Linked DNA regions of Oryctolagus cuniculus. The protein of the gene in region 1 interacts with the protein of each later gene in a pairwise test. Links are inferred from orthologs where the notes say so. Each region holds a gene or a part of one and is shown on either strand. Other genes may lie near its edges. The genes, in order: CAMK2B, ACOT7 and MRPL11.

Region 1 (3,738 bases):
AACCTCCCAGAACCTCCAATCCAGGTGCCCTGGCCTCAGCCCCCGGTCCTGGAGGAGTGTGGGAGCGAGGGGCGGGCAGCACGGGGCAGGAGCACCCTCGGGCCATCCTGTCGTCCCTGGCTCTAGTGCCCCAGCGACGTGCCCGCCAGGCAGTCCCGGCAGAGGGGACGGGACGGCGTGCGTGTGGCCCCAGGGAGCCTGAGCAGGAGGCTCTGGCGGCACCCCCCCGCCAGGGGTGGAGCAGTGAGTCCTGTCAGGGCAGCACAGGAGCCAGGGCCCCCACACGGGCCTCAGTGTCCTCTGCTCAGAGCCTGGGGGCCTCCAGTGGTGAGAGGAGGCTGGGCTCCCACTGAGAGCCGTCCTGGAGCCAGCATGGGTGCAGGCACTGTGTGGGTGCAGCACAGAACACAGGCTGTGGGTGCAGCACAGGTGTGTGTGTGGGGGGCGCGATACAGACACAGGCTGTGGGTGCAGGGTGTAGGCCCTGTTCAGGTGTGGGTTCAGGATGTGCATGTGGGCAGCACACGGGTCCAGGTGTGCGTGCAGGTGCAGGGTGCGAGTGGGAGTGCAGAATGTGGCCGTGCGGATGCAGTGTGTGGGCATGATGTGGGTGCAGAGTGTGGGTGCAGGGCATAGGTGCGTGTCCAGGTTCATGGTGCGGCCGCATGTATTGCGACAGACACATGTGCGGGTGAAAGGCACCGCTGTAAGTGTGGGTGCATGTGCAGGGCCCCGAGTGGGGCACAGAAGCCGGTGCAATGTGGGTGCAGGAGCGGCGTGCGTGCTAGCGTGCTGTATCAGGGTACAGGCACCGCGCGGGTGCGGCGCGGTGCGGGTGCAGGACACCGGTTTGAATGCAGGGCGCGGGCCCGGTGCAGGTGCAGGGCGCGGGTGTGGCGCGGCGCGAGTGCAGGAGCGGCGTGTGCGGGGCGCGGATGCGGCGCGTGCTGGGGGCAGCAGGCGGGGCGGGCGCGGCGGCGGCGGCGGCGGTGACAGCGCTCCCGCGCCTCCCCGCGTAGGTGTGCGGCGCGCTCCTGGCGGGGACCGAGCGAGCAGATCTCGCGTGCGCCCGCCGCGCGCGCAGCCCAGCCCGGCCCCCGCCCGGCGCCGCGAGCCGAGGTGTCTCCGCGCCCGCGCCCGTGTCGCCGCCGTGCCCGCGAGCGGGAGCCGGAGTCGCCGCCGCCGAGCGCAGCCGAGCGCACGCCGTTCCCGTCCGCCGCCGCCATGGCCACCACGGTGACCTGCACTCGCTTCACCGACGAGTATCAGCTCTACGAGGATATTGGCAAGTAAGAGCCGAGGCGCGCGCGCTGGCCGGGCCCCCGAGGGCCGGGCCCCTGGGGCGCTGGAGCCTCGGCGCCGCCGGCCCCGGGCGCACTGCGGCCCGGCGCGCCCCCGGCTCCTCCGGGCCCCGGCCGGAGCGTGCGGCCCCGCGCTGCCCGACCCCGACCCCGGGCCCGGCGCCGCACAGCGCGGCGCCCGGGGGCCCGGGGCTCTGGACTCGCGCGGCGGGGGCGGCAGCAGGTGTCCCCCGAGCGCGGGGCAGACGTGACGCATTTGGCGGCGGGGAGGTCACCGAGGAGGGGCGCGCGGGGGCGGGCGCGGGGCCTGGTGCGCCGAGTCCGGCCGGCTGCGGCCCCGGGGGTCGCCCCCGCGCGGCGCGCTGTCCCCACCCCCACCGGGCGGCGGCGGCGGGGGCGGCGGGACCCGCTCCGCGCCTGCTCCTGCGCGGCCCCCTCCGTGCGGGTTGCCGGCGTGGGAGCAGCCTTGCGTGGGCCCCCGGCGATCCAGGGAGGATCTTTCCCTAGATTCTTCTGGAAACAGTTATTTGGAGGAGGGGGCGAGGTCAGGGAGTCCGGGTCAGGTCATGAAGGGTGGGGATGAAGGGGTGAGGCAGGGCTCCCGCGCGGGCGGCTCCTGGGGCTGGGTTTGGGAGCGTTGTTTTCGGGCTCCCGGAGGCAGCGAGGGGCCGTGATGGCCAGGCGCAGGTGGGGCCTCCTGGGAACAGGTGCCCCAGCCCCTGGACACACCGTGCGCTCCGCCAGGCGAGCCATGTCCTGCTTTGGGGTCTTCAGGTGCCGCTCTGCCCCTCAGGTCAAAGGCTAGGGAGCCCCACAGGTCCCCCTCGGCGCACCAAGGTGGCTGTGCCTGGCACCCCTTGGGCTGGCTTCAGAACTCCGGATCGCGCCGGGCCCATCCTTCCCCTCCCCCCCCCGCCCTCCCCCAGCTCTCCTGCGGGCGGGGGCGCTGGCGAGATTTCCTCTTACACTTGCAGCGGCAGATCCTTTTTTCCCCTTTACTAAAAAAGCGCCTGGTGGAAGCTTGTGGTGGGCGAGGGACGCTGATGGCTGATAATTGTGGAGCAGCCGCGGGAGGGGTGCGCTGCGCGCCTTCCTTCTTCTCTCTGCACGTGGGGACACCCCAGGTCAAGCAGGCCTGGGGGCGGCCTAGGGTGGAAGTGAGGGGATAGGGGCAGCTCAGGACCCCTTGGCGGAGGCCTGTTGGCTGTGGAGGGCCGCCCTGGAAGGAACAACCTTCCGGGGCAGGCTGGGCCGGAGGCAGAGAGGAAGAGGGTGCTGGGTGGGCTGGGGGTCCTCGTGGGAGCCCTGGGTCTGACCCAGTGGTGCTCAGACCCCCCCGCTGCCCTGTGTCCCCGGCGCTGTCTCTATGCTGTGGGTCAGGCAGGTGGCGGGCTGTCCCGGGAAGAGGGCAGTGGTCACTTCCAGGGACCTTCGTGGCCTCTCCTCCACTGTGTCCGGAATCACACAGGCCCTCACCCTGGGCATCTGCCAGGGCAGCCCCTGGCGAGTCGGGGGCCCCAGCCCAGGCTCATTCCATGTCTCCTGTCTTCCCTGTGGCATGGCCACCTTCCCTGGCCGCAGCTCGGGCTGGCTGGGTCCCCCCGCCCCCAGCCTCCCGTCCCAACAGCAACTGGTTATCGGCAGCTGCCGCCACCCTGAGAGTAGAGGTGTCTGGGGCTGACTCTCCTGGAGGGGCAGGTGAGGGCTGGAATCGCTCACTGCTTCCCAGGTGGGCAGGAGGAGCGGCTGGAAGGGAGTGGGTGCGATGTGAGGGGCCTGCAGCGACTTGGGACAAGAGGGGGCGTCGCAGCCAGCATCGGTCAGCTCAGCCCAGCTGAGCCTGTCTGGCCCCAGGGGAATGCCTGGGGTCAGGCAGCATGTGGGGAGGGGGCCGGGGCCGTGCAGGCGAGATCCGCAGCGGCCATGCTGGCTAGTTGTTGACAGGGCTGGCCGGGGCACAGTTGGTGCTGCCTCCCGGCCCAGGTGGACTGGTCCAAGTTTATTTAAAGCTGCAGCCCCTGGCACCCAGTCAGGCGCGCCGAGCTGCCCGCTGTCCCTGCTGGTGGATGGGCTGGGCCACGGGCCTGAGGCTGCTCGAAGGCTTCTCCTTCTCCTGCCCTGTCCTTTCTCCGCCTCTGCTCCTGGGTGTGCCCTGGGGGCCGTGCCACGGGTCCTGCCCACCTTGGGGCTATGGGTGTGCCCTTCAGTGTCCAGCCCTGTGGGGAGCCGAAGCTGTCTGGAGCCCAGGGACCCCAGGGGCAGGCGCACAGTGAAGCAGGGACGTCCTGGGCGGTGTGGACCCTGCAGTGCGGGTCTCGCTTGCTTTACATCTTGTAGATTTTTCAAAATTCAGAAAATACCAGAACTCGCAAAAGAAGTGCCGGTGGTTTGCCTGCTCAGGTTGCAAACTGTTCATCTTTTGCCACTTTCGCTGACT
Region 2 (3,738 bases), on another chromosome or scaffold:
ACCCCAGCTAGACGTTCTGTTAGTGAGCGCTCACAACCACCCGTGAGCAAATGGGAGCACAGAGCGGTCACGCGGCGAGCGAGGGACAGAGGCGTTGCCAGTAACCGCTGCCCTCGCCTGCCTTTAAGGCCTCTGATCCTGGAGCATCCTGCCTGCAGCACGGCGTCGCCCTGACCGTCTAGAATGACAGGGGCGTGGGCATCCTCGCCCTGCTGAACCGTGACCCCCTCAGGGCAGGGTCTCAGGGTTCCCCGGGGTCAGCTTTCCCTCCCAGCGCTTTGCTCCTTGGCAGTGTCCCGTGGAGTCTTGTTAAATTCATGGGCCTGGTAGGATGTGTCGGGCCAGGAGGCTCCGCTTTCAATGCAGGGCATCAGCTCGGGTATCCTTAAAGGCTCCCCACTCCAGCGCGTCCACTCTTCAGTGTCCTGGGGCTTCTGTGGGTCAAGCCCACCTGACCACAGCCCTCTGCCCAGCACCCTCTCCCGGGGCAGGCGTGCCCTGCGCCCGAGGACCACTTCAGCCGGGCACCCTGCTCACAAGACCTCACGGCCAAGCACCCACTTCAGAGACGGTGCAGCTGTGAACCAGACACGCGAGGCGGCCCGGCAGGTGCAGCGCCCGAGAGAGTGCACATGCAGGCTTACGGGAGCATCTAAAGCCTTACAAGAATCTGTTTTCCTGTTAGTTGGAAAAAGACAATATATATATACACCCAGGCTACTCCCCACCCTGAAGAAGTAAACACGCCCAGCCTTCCGCAGGCAAACAAACTCTTCATTTGGGAGAACGGTGGGACGAACACTGCGTGGCCCTCCCAGAACTACTCAGCCCCCGGGATCCTCAACCGCTGGCTCCACACAGCGCCAGCACGGAGGTCCCGACCCTGCAGCCTTGCAGGGAACCCAACGAGATGGAGATGAGCTCAGGCTCCTTGCAAACAAGGCAGCCCGGTTCCGGGATCTGGCTGCGGGCCTGTCTGTCTGCCAACATCAGTCACTTTCATTATCTTTATCCCTGCCTCCCCCCACCACCACCACCTGAGAGGACAGCACACAGCCAGGGGCACAGGGCTCCCCCATGCACGCTTCCCCTCGCTAGGAAAGCCAAGATTGACCTTAAGACCAACAAAGGGGTCTCGGCCAAGCCAGAGAACGGGGAGCTGGGGGCAGGAGCTCCAGGCTCCCAGAGAACCAGCTCCTTCGGGAAAGTAACTGGCCCAGGGTGGACACGGCTGGGACCCCAGGTCAGCGCGATGCCCAGCGTGGGGAACCCGGCTTGGTCCCCCCAGCAGGACAGAGCTGGCCTCGCCCTTGTCCGCCCGCACTGATGCCTCTGCGCCCGGCGGCCTGCCGGTCACCTTGAGGCTGCCCTCCCGTCCTCCTGCCTGGAGACCAGCAAGCTCCCACCCCCCGCGGCCGCTGGGGCCCGCATCTCTATCCCGACACGCGGGTGTGGTGGGGGTCGCCGAGACGACTCTGCCTCCTATTGTGTGAGATGCTTCGGGCCCGCGCAGCTCCCTTTCCTTAGCGGTAAGCCGCTCCAGGCCAAGAGCCCTGATCGGTTCTGGGCCTCCACACCTGCCCTCTCCGAACCCGCCGCGGGGGGCTGTGGGGCCGGCGGGCGCAGCCCCCTCCCTAAACCCACGGCGAGCGGCCTCCGGGGGGCTCCGGCGCCGGTCCTCCACCCTCGCTTCCGCACTACAGCCCAGGGGGCGATCCCGAAGCTCCGGGGGCCCAGAGGGCATCCCGGGCCGGGGTCTGAGATGTCGGGTGCACCGACCCCCTCGCCGGTCCTGGCCCCGGCCCTCTTCCTCCCCCCAAACGGCCGGTGCTGGCGGCAGCGCGGCCGCCGCCCTTGAGATGCGCCGAGAGGTGGTGGGAGGAGCCCCCCGGGCCGCGTCTACCTCAGCATCGCCGGCGCATCCCCGCCGCCGGCGGCCCGGGCCCCGAGACGAGGGCGCGGGGACTCGAGGGGCGATCCCCCGGCGCCGGGGCGGGGATGCCGGCGGCCTCGGTGGGCGGGGGTCGCAGACCCCACGGGTGGGCCCCTCTCTTACCGGCATATCTGAATGGCGGACGGCGTGTCGGCGGCGGGGCCCGACATGCTGGCGGCGGCGGCGGCGGCGGCTGCAGGCGGCGGGAGGAGCGCGCAGGTGTCTGGAAGGCCCGGCGCGGAATGAATGAGCCCGGGCGGCGCCATGGAGGGGGAGGGCGGAGGCGGAGCCATGGCGCCGGCAAGGCGGGGCCTGCGCGCGGGGGGCGAATCGAACGCGGCCTCCCCGTGCGGGCCCCGCCCCCGCTCGGGCCCCGCCCCTTTCCCCGCCCCCCTGGCCGCCACGGCCGCGGTGGGCCCGCGTCGGCGTCCGGTTCTGTCGGCGGAGGGGGCTGCCCCGGGGCGCGGCTTCCAGAAGGTTCGACGGCAGTTGGGCGGGGTCGGCCCGCGGGCGGCGGCGGCGGCTGACGGCCCTGCAGCCTGCGAGCGCCCGGCGGGCGCGGCCCGAGTCGCGCAGCTCGGCGGACGCGTCGCTCGCCTCCGCGGCGGGCAGAGTCGGCGGGGCGTTCCCTGCGGGTCGCGCCGGCGATTCGCTGTCTGCGCCCCGTGCTCCGCGGGCCGGATGAGGTCAACGCGGAAGGCCCGGCCCGGCGTTCGGGCCTGGAGCCGCCCGCCGGGCGCTGCCGCCCTGCACGGCGGCGCGCTCTCGAGTGGGCCGTGAGAGGCCGAGTGCCGGCCCCGGGGGTGGTGGCCGCTGTGGGGAACACGACATGGGCCAGCGCGGGCGGATAGGCCGTGCCCGCGCCGCCCCGCCGCTGTCCAGGCGTCCGGCTCCGGGGCCCACGGCCGCAGGGAGTGGGGGCCGCCCGGATGCACGCGGTGTCCCCGAAGTGAGTCCAGAACGAGTCTGGGGTCACAGAATCCACCCAAAAAACCCCCCGGGAAGGGTGGTCAGCTCCACCTGCGGGGGTCCGGAGAGCTTTTTTGTTTGTTTTATAAGATACATTTTTATTCACGTGAAAGAGTTAGAGGCACAGAAACCTCCCCTGCGCTGGTTCACTCGCCAAGTGGCCGCAGGGGCTGGGCCAGGCCAAAGCCAGGGGCCTGGAGCGCCACCCGAGTCTCCCACGAGCGCGGCATCTGCTGCTTTCTCAAGCACGTTAGCAGGGAGCCGGATCGGAAGTGGAGCAGCCGGGACTCGAACCCGTGCCAGCACCACAGGCTGTGGCTTAACCAGCTGCGCCACAGCGCTGGCCCAGTACACGTAGTTTTCCCACATGAAATAAGTTTACCCAAGCATGAAGAGCCACGAAGCCTAGTTAAACACCACATCTTCCCAACGTGGACCCTGAAATGCAAGGGAAGAGGGGACCCACTTTGGGGGTTCAGGAAGGAAGTTTCGAGATCCCCGAGGGGAGGCGATGGCTAAGCGCAGCCCTCCTGACCTCTGCTGGAGTTTATGAGGTTATGACTGTAAGGAGGTAGCAGGTTAATAACTCTTCCTCCTCCTGGTTCTCTTCCCCACCCGTCATTCTGTTTCTTTAATCCTTCCCAGGTGGATGCAATAGAACAAGGAATTGTCCAGGCCCTGCCCTGTTTGCATAGGTGTGCTCGTCCAGCTGGACATCAGAAGTGCTTCCTGGGGCCGGCACTAGGGTGTAGCGGGTAAAGCCGCTGCCTGCAGTGCCGGCATCCCACATGGGCGCCGGTTCGATTCCTGGCTGCTCCACTTCCGATCCAGCTCCA
Region 3 (3,738 bases), on another chromosome or scaffold:
TTCACCGTCCGTGAAACGGGTTCTGTTCACGAAGATAGGCGAGGATCTGCTGGACACGTCTTCCAGCCAACCTTCTAAGTATCGCTTCCCGGCCACGCCACCACCACCTGGCCCAGCCCTCTGCCTGCCTCCTCCAAGCTAGGGTGACCTTTTCAAAATGCAAATATGATGCAAATGCATGCCCAGCACCCTTCGAGGGCTTCCTCCCCCACCCAGGGCTGCAAGACCTGGCCCCCAACCCCTGGTCCCGCCCCCTCGCCTCCACTGCCTCTGAACCTCACACGCGACCTTGAGGCATTTCCAGGGGTCCCTCCCGGTAATCAGAATCATCCCAGCTGTGCCTCCACTGACCCCAGGTGGAGTTTGCCAGCCGCCGGCTCGCCCTGGGCTCCCTGATTGTGCCGGTCAGCTACCTGATGGCTTCACCCAGGAAGGATTTGTTTCTTTATTAGTAAATAAACTTGTGAATGAAGGTCAGGCACACAGAGATGGATCAGACCCAGCCTGCTCCCCCCGGCCACCATGAATTAATTAATTTATGAGAGAGGCACTTTCTTTTTAAGATTCATTTTACTTATTGAAAGGCAGAGTCACAGAGAGAGAGAGGTCTTCCATCTGCTGGTTAGCTCCCCAAGCGGCCGCAATGGCCGGAGCTGGGTCTCCCACGTGGGTGCAGGGCCCAAGTCCATAGCAGAGAGCTGGACCGGAAGTGGAGCAGCCGGGACTCGAACCGGCCCTCATACGGGATGCCGGCACTGCAGGCGGCGGCTTTACCGGCTACGCCGCAGCCCCGACCCCAACTAGATGAGAAACAAGGATTTAGTACGGACGCCCGCTCTGAGCAACAGGTGCGGTTATCACGATGTCCAGCAGACGGCGCTCCAGCGCACCAGGTCGCCTGACGTGCACGAGGGGCCTTAAAACTACCGCACCCACAATGCCTTGCGGCACCGAGGGCCCGCCGTCGTGCTTAGCTGTCCGAGGCAGTGCCTGTATGCGCTCCTGAAAGAATGCGCGTAGCGAAGCCGCTCGGGTCCTTCCCCCTCTCTGCAGCAGGCCAGTGGGGAGGTTCTTTTTTTTCCCTTTCTCTTACTCTCCCGGCCTTACCCGTTAAGACTGAAACAGGCTGATGCTTGTTGGCCTCCCCTGCCCTAGCCCCTCGTGAGGCCCCTTGACCTCTGGCCCAAGATGGCGGCGCCCAGGGCGTAGCTCTCGCTGAGGTGAACCACAGCCAGACGGCCGGCGGCATGTCGAAACTAAGCCGGGTCTCTCGAAGCCTCAGGAAGCCCGAGGCCGGCGGCGTGATCCGGACCATCGTGCGGGCCGGCCAGGCCATGTCCGGGCCCCCCCTGGGCCCTATCTTGGGTCAGGTGCGCTCCTGGCCGGAGCCCGGCGCGGGGCGCCGGAGGGCCGGGATGGTCGCGGAGCCGCGTGCACGCTTCCAGCCCGCGTGTTGGCCTCCGCAGCAGGCCGTGGGGGGGACACACAAAGAAGTCTGTGGCGCAGAGAGCGGGAGTCGAGTGTGGGTGGAGGAGAGGGGCCGCGTGGGCGCGGCCGGCCCCGCTGACCGCCGTGTTGCTCCCGCAGCGAGGCGTCTCCATCAACCAGTTCTGCAAGGAGTTCAACGAGAAGACCAAGGACATCAAAGAAGGCATCCCCCTGCCCACGAAGATCCTGGTGAAGCCCGACAGGACGTTTGAAATCAAGATCGGCCAGCCCACCGTGTCCTACTTCCTGAAGGCGGCCGCGGGCATCGAGAAGGGAGCGCGGCGGCCAGGTGAGGGCCGGGGCGGGCGCCCGGGAGGAGCCGGCGGCCAGCGCCTGAGCGCGCGTGCCCCTTGCTCCCAGGGCAGGAGGTGGCGGGCCTGGTGACCCTGAAGCACGTGTATGAGATCGCGCTGGTGAAAGCCAAGGACGACGCCTTCGCCCTGCTGGACGTCCCGCTGTCCTCCGTCGTCCGCTCCATCATCGGCTCTGCGCGGTCACTGGGCATCCGCGTGGTCAAAGAGTGAGTGCGGAGGGGGCCTCTCGGGTTCTGGGGGGGGGGGGGGGCGGTGCACCTGTTGCGTGTTAGGTGTCGTCCTGGATGTGGGACGCGGCTTAGGCGGGGGCAGCGCTGCTTGGCCCACGTCCGTGTGGCGGCCGCGCGGACCCACGGGTGCGTGTTGGGGCCGGGGTCACCAGAGCAGCCAGGAGGGTTGCTGGCTGGGCGTGGAGTGTCCGTGAGGGGAGGGGCTACATCTGAGCAGAAGCCGGGAAGAGACCGAGGGCTGGGGCAGACGGTCCAAGGACGGAGATCTCCGTGGAGTCGGGAAGGGCGGGGGGCCTGGGTGCAGAGCCCCCGGGCAGGGTGGGAGGGTGTGGACCCGAGGCCGACAGGAGGGAGGCCTGCTCCTCGGCTTCAGGTGAGCTCAGGGAGTTGGGGGTGTCGGGCCCAGGCGGGGGCGGGCCGGGGAGTAGGAGCCCTGCGTGTCCTCTGCCGCCGAGTCAGGCCCCACCCGCGGCTCACGGTCGCTTCCCGGAAGCGCGGGCGCAGCCTGGGGCAGAGGGGGACCGGGCCTTGCTCACGTCTTAGCTTTTGCTGGGACGCAGGGATGAGTAAGCCCGGTCCTCTGGGGGAGACACAGGCACAGCCCCCCCGGCTTCCTGGGGCACAGGGCGAGGCCGGCTAAACTGGACTGGAGCCCGGCTGGGTAGCGATTTAGTGAGAGGATAAAAGGCCGCGGGCGGCTTTTCTGGCCGAGGGAGTGCGGAAGCTGGGGGCCGAGCAGCTGGACTCTGACACGGGGACACGGGCCCCGAGAACCGGGTGGCAGCTGCTCACCACCCGTCCACCCGTCTGTCTGCCTGTCCACCTTCTGTCCGTCCATCTGCCTGCCTGTCCATTCATCCGTCTGCCTGTCTGTCTCTGTCCGTCCGTCTGCCTGCCTGCCCATCCGTCTGTCCATCTGTCTGCCTGCCTGCCTGTCCATCCGTCTCCGTCCGTCCGTCTGCCTGTCTGTGCGTCTCTATCTGTCCATCTGTCTGCCTGCCTGCCCGTCTATCTGTCCATCCGTCCGTCTGCCTGTCTGTGCGTCTCTGTCTATCCGTCCACCCGTCTGTCTGCCTGCCTGCCCATCTATCTGTCTGTCTGTCCGTCTGTGCGTTTCTGTCTGCCTGCCTGCCTGTCCGTCCGTCTCTGTCCGTCCGTCTGCCTGCCTGCCCGTCTATCTGTCCGTCCGTCCGTCTGCCTGTCTGTGCGTCTCTGTCTATCTGTCTGTCTGTCCGTCTGTCCATCTCTCCATCCGTCTGTCCGTCCGTCTGTCTCTCTCCACCTGCAGCCTCAGTGCCGAGGAGCTGGCGGCCTTCCAGAAGGAGCGAGCCGCGTTCCTGGCTGCCCAGAAGGAGGCGGATTTGGCAGCCCAGGCAGAGGCCGCCAAGAAGTGACCCGGCCTCGCACACCCACAGTTCTGAGGCAAACGGCTGGGGCGGGGCCTGTGCCGAGGGGGAGGAAGGGCGACCGCGCCACCCTCATTGTGACTCTCCTGACTGGATTATGTATTTCTACGCTCATGGCTGCGTCAGGCCTGAATAAATGTCTCTGTCACCATTCTCAGCCTCTGTCTTGGGACCCAGGGAGGCAGCCCTGGGGTGGGCAGGGGTCTTCACGCGGCTCCTGGGACACAAACCGAGGCTCAGCCGGCAGAGTGGTTTGGCCCACGCCTTAGCTCATTTTCTGTTCCTGTAACAAAATCCCTG

Evidence for each region.
Region 2: the proteins of CAMK2B (region 1) and ACOT7 interact in binary tests that used the Homo sapiens proteins (3 or more experiments, as listed by UniProt). The two-hybrid records come from large-scale screens. The link is inferred for Oryctolagus cuniculus from reciprocal best matches to the Homo sapiens genes CAMK2B and ACOT7.
Region 3: the proteins of CAMK2B (region 1) and MRPL11 interact in binary tests that used the Homo sapiens proteins (3 or more experiments, as listed by UniProt). The two-hybrid records come from large-scale screens. The link is inferred for Oryctolagus cuniculus from reciprocal best matches to the Homo sapiens genes CAMK2B and MRPL11.

Annotation. Positions count from the first base shown.
Region 1 is NC_091447.1:51,754,919-51,758,656, reverse strand, and holds the start of CAMK2B (calcium/calmodulin-dependent protein kinase type II subunit beta), read left to right. Parts: upstream 1-1,066; 5' UTR 1,067-1,224; coding exon 1,225-1,289; intron 1,290-3,738. UniProt on the Homo sapiens protein: Calcium/calmodulin-dependent protein kinase that functions autonomously after Ca(2+)/calmodulin-binding and autophosphorylation, and is involved in dendritic spine and synapse formation, neuronal plasticity and regulation of sarcoplasmic reticulum Ca(2+) transport in skeletal muscle.
Region 2 is NC_091438.1:161,106,103-161,109,840, reverse strand, and holds the start of ACOT7 (cytosolic acyl coenzyme A thioester hydrolase), read right to left. Parts: upstream 2,549-3,738; 5' UTR 2,227-2,548; coding exon 2,057-2,226; intron 1-2,056. UniProt on the Homo sapiens protein: Catalyzes the hydrolysis of acyl-CoAs into free fatty acids and coenzyme A (CoASH), regulating their respective intracellular levels.
Region 3 is NC_091432.1:5,444,227-5,447,964, forward strand, and holds MRPL11 (large ribosomal subunit protein uL11m), read left to right. Parts: upstream 1-1,155; 5' UTR 1,156-1,247; coding exon 1,248-1,370; intron 1,371-1,587; coding exon 1,588-1,777; intron 1,778-1,848; coding exon 1,849-2,008; intron 2,009-3,320; coding exon 3,321-3,426; 3' UTR 3,427-3,589; downstream 3,590-3,738.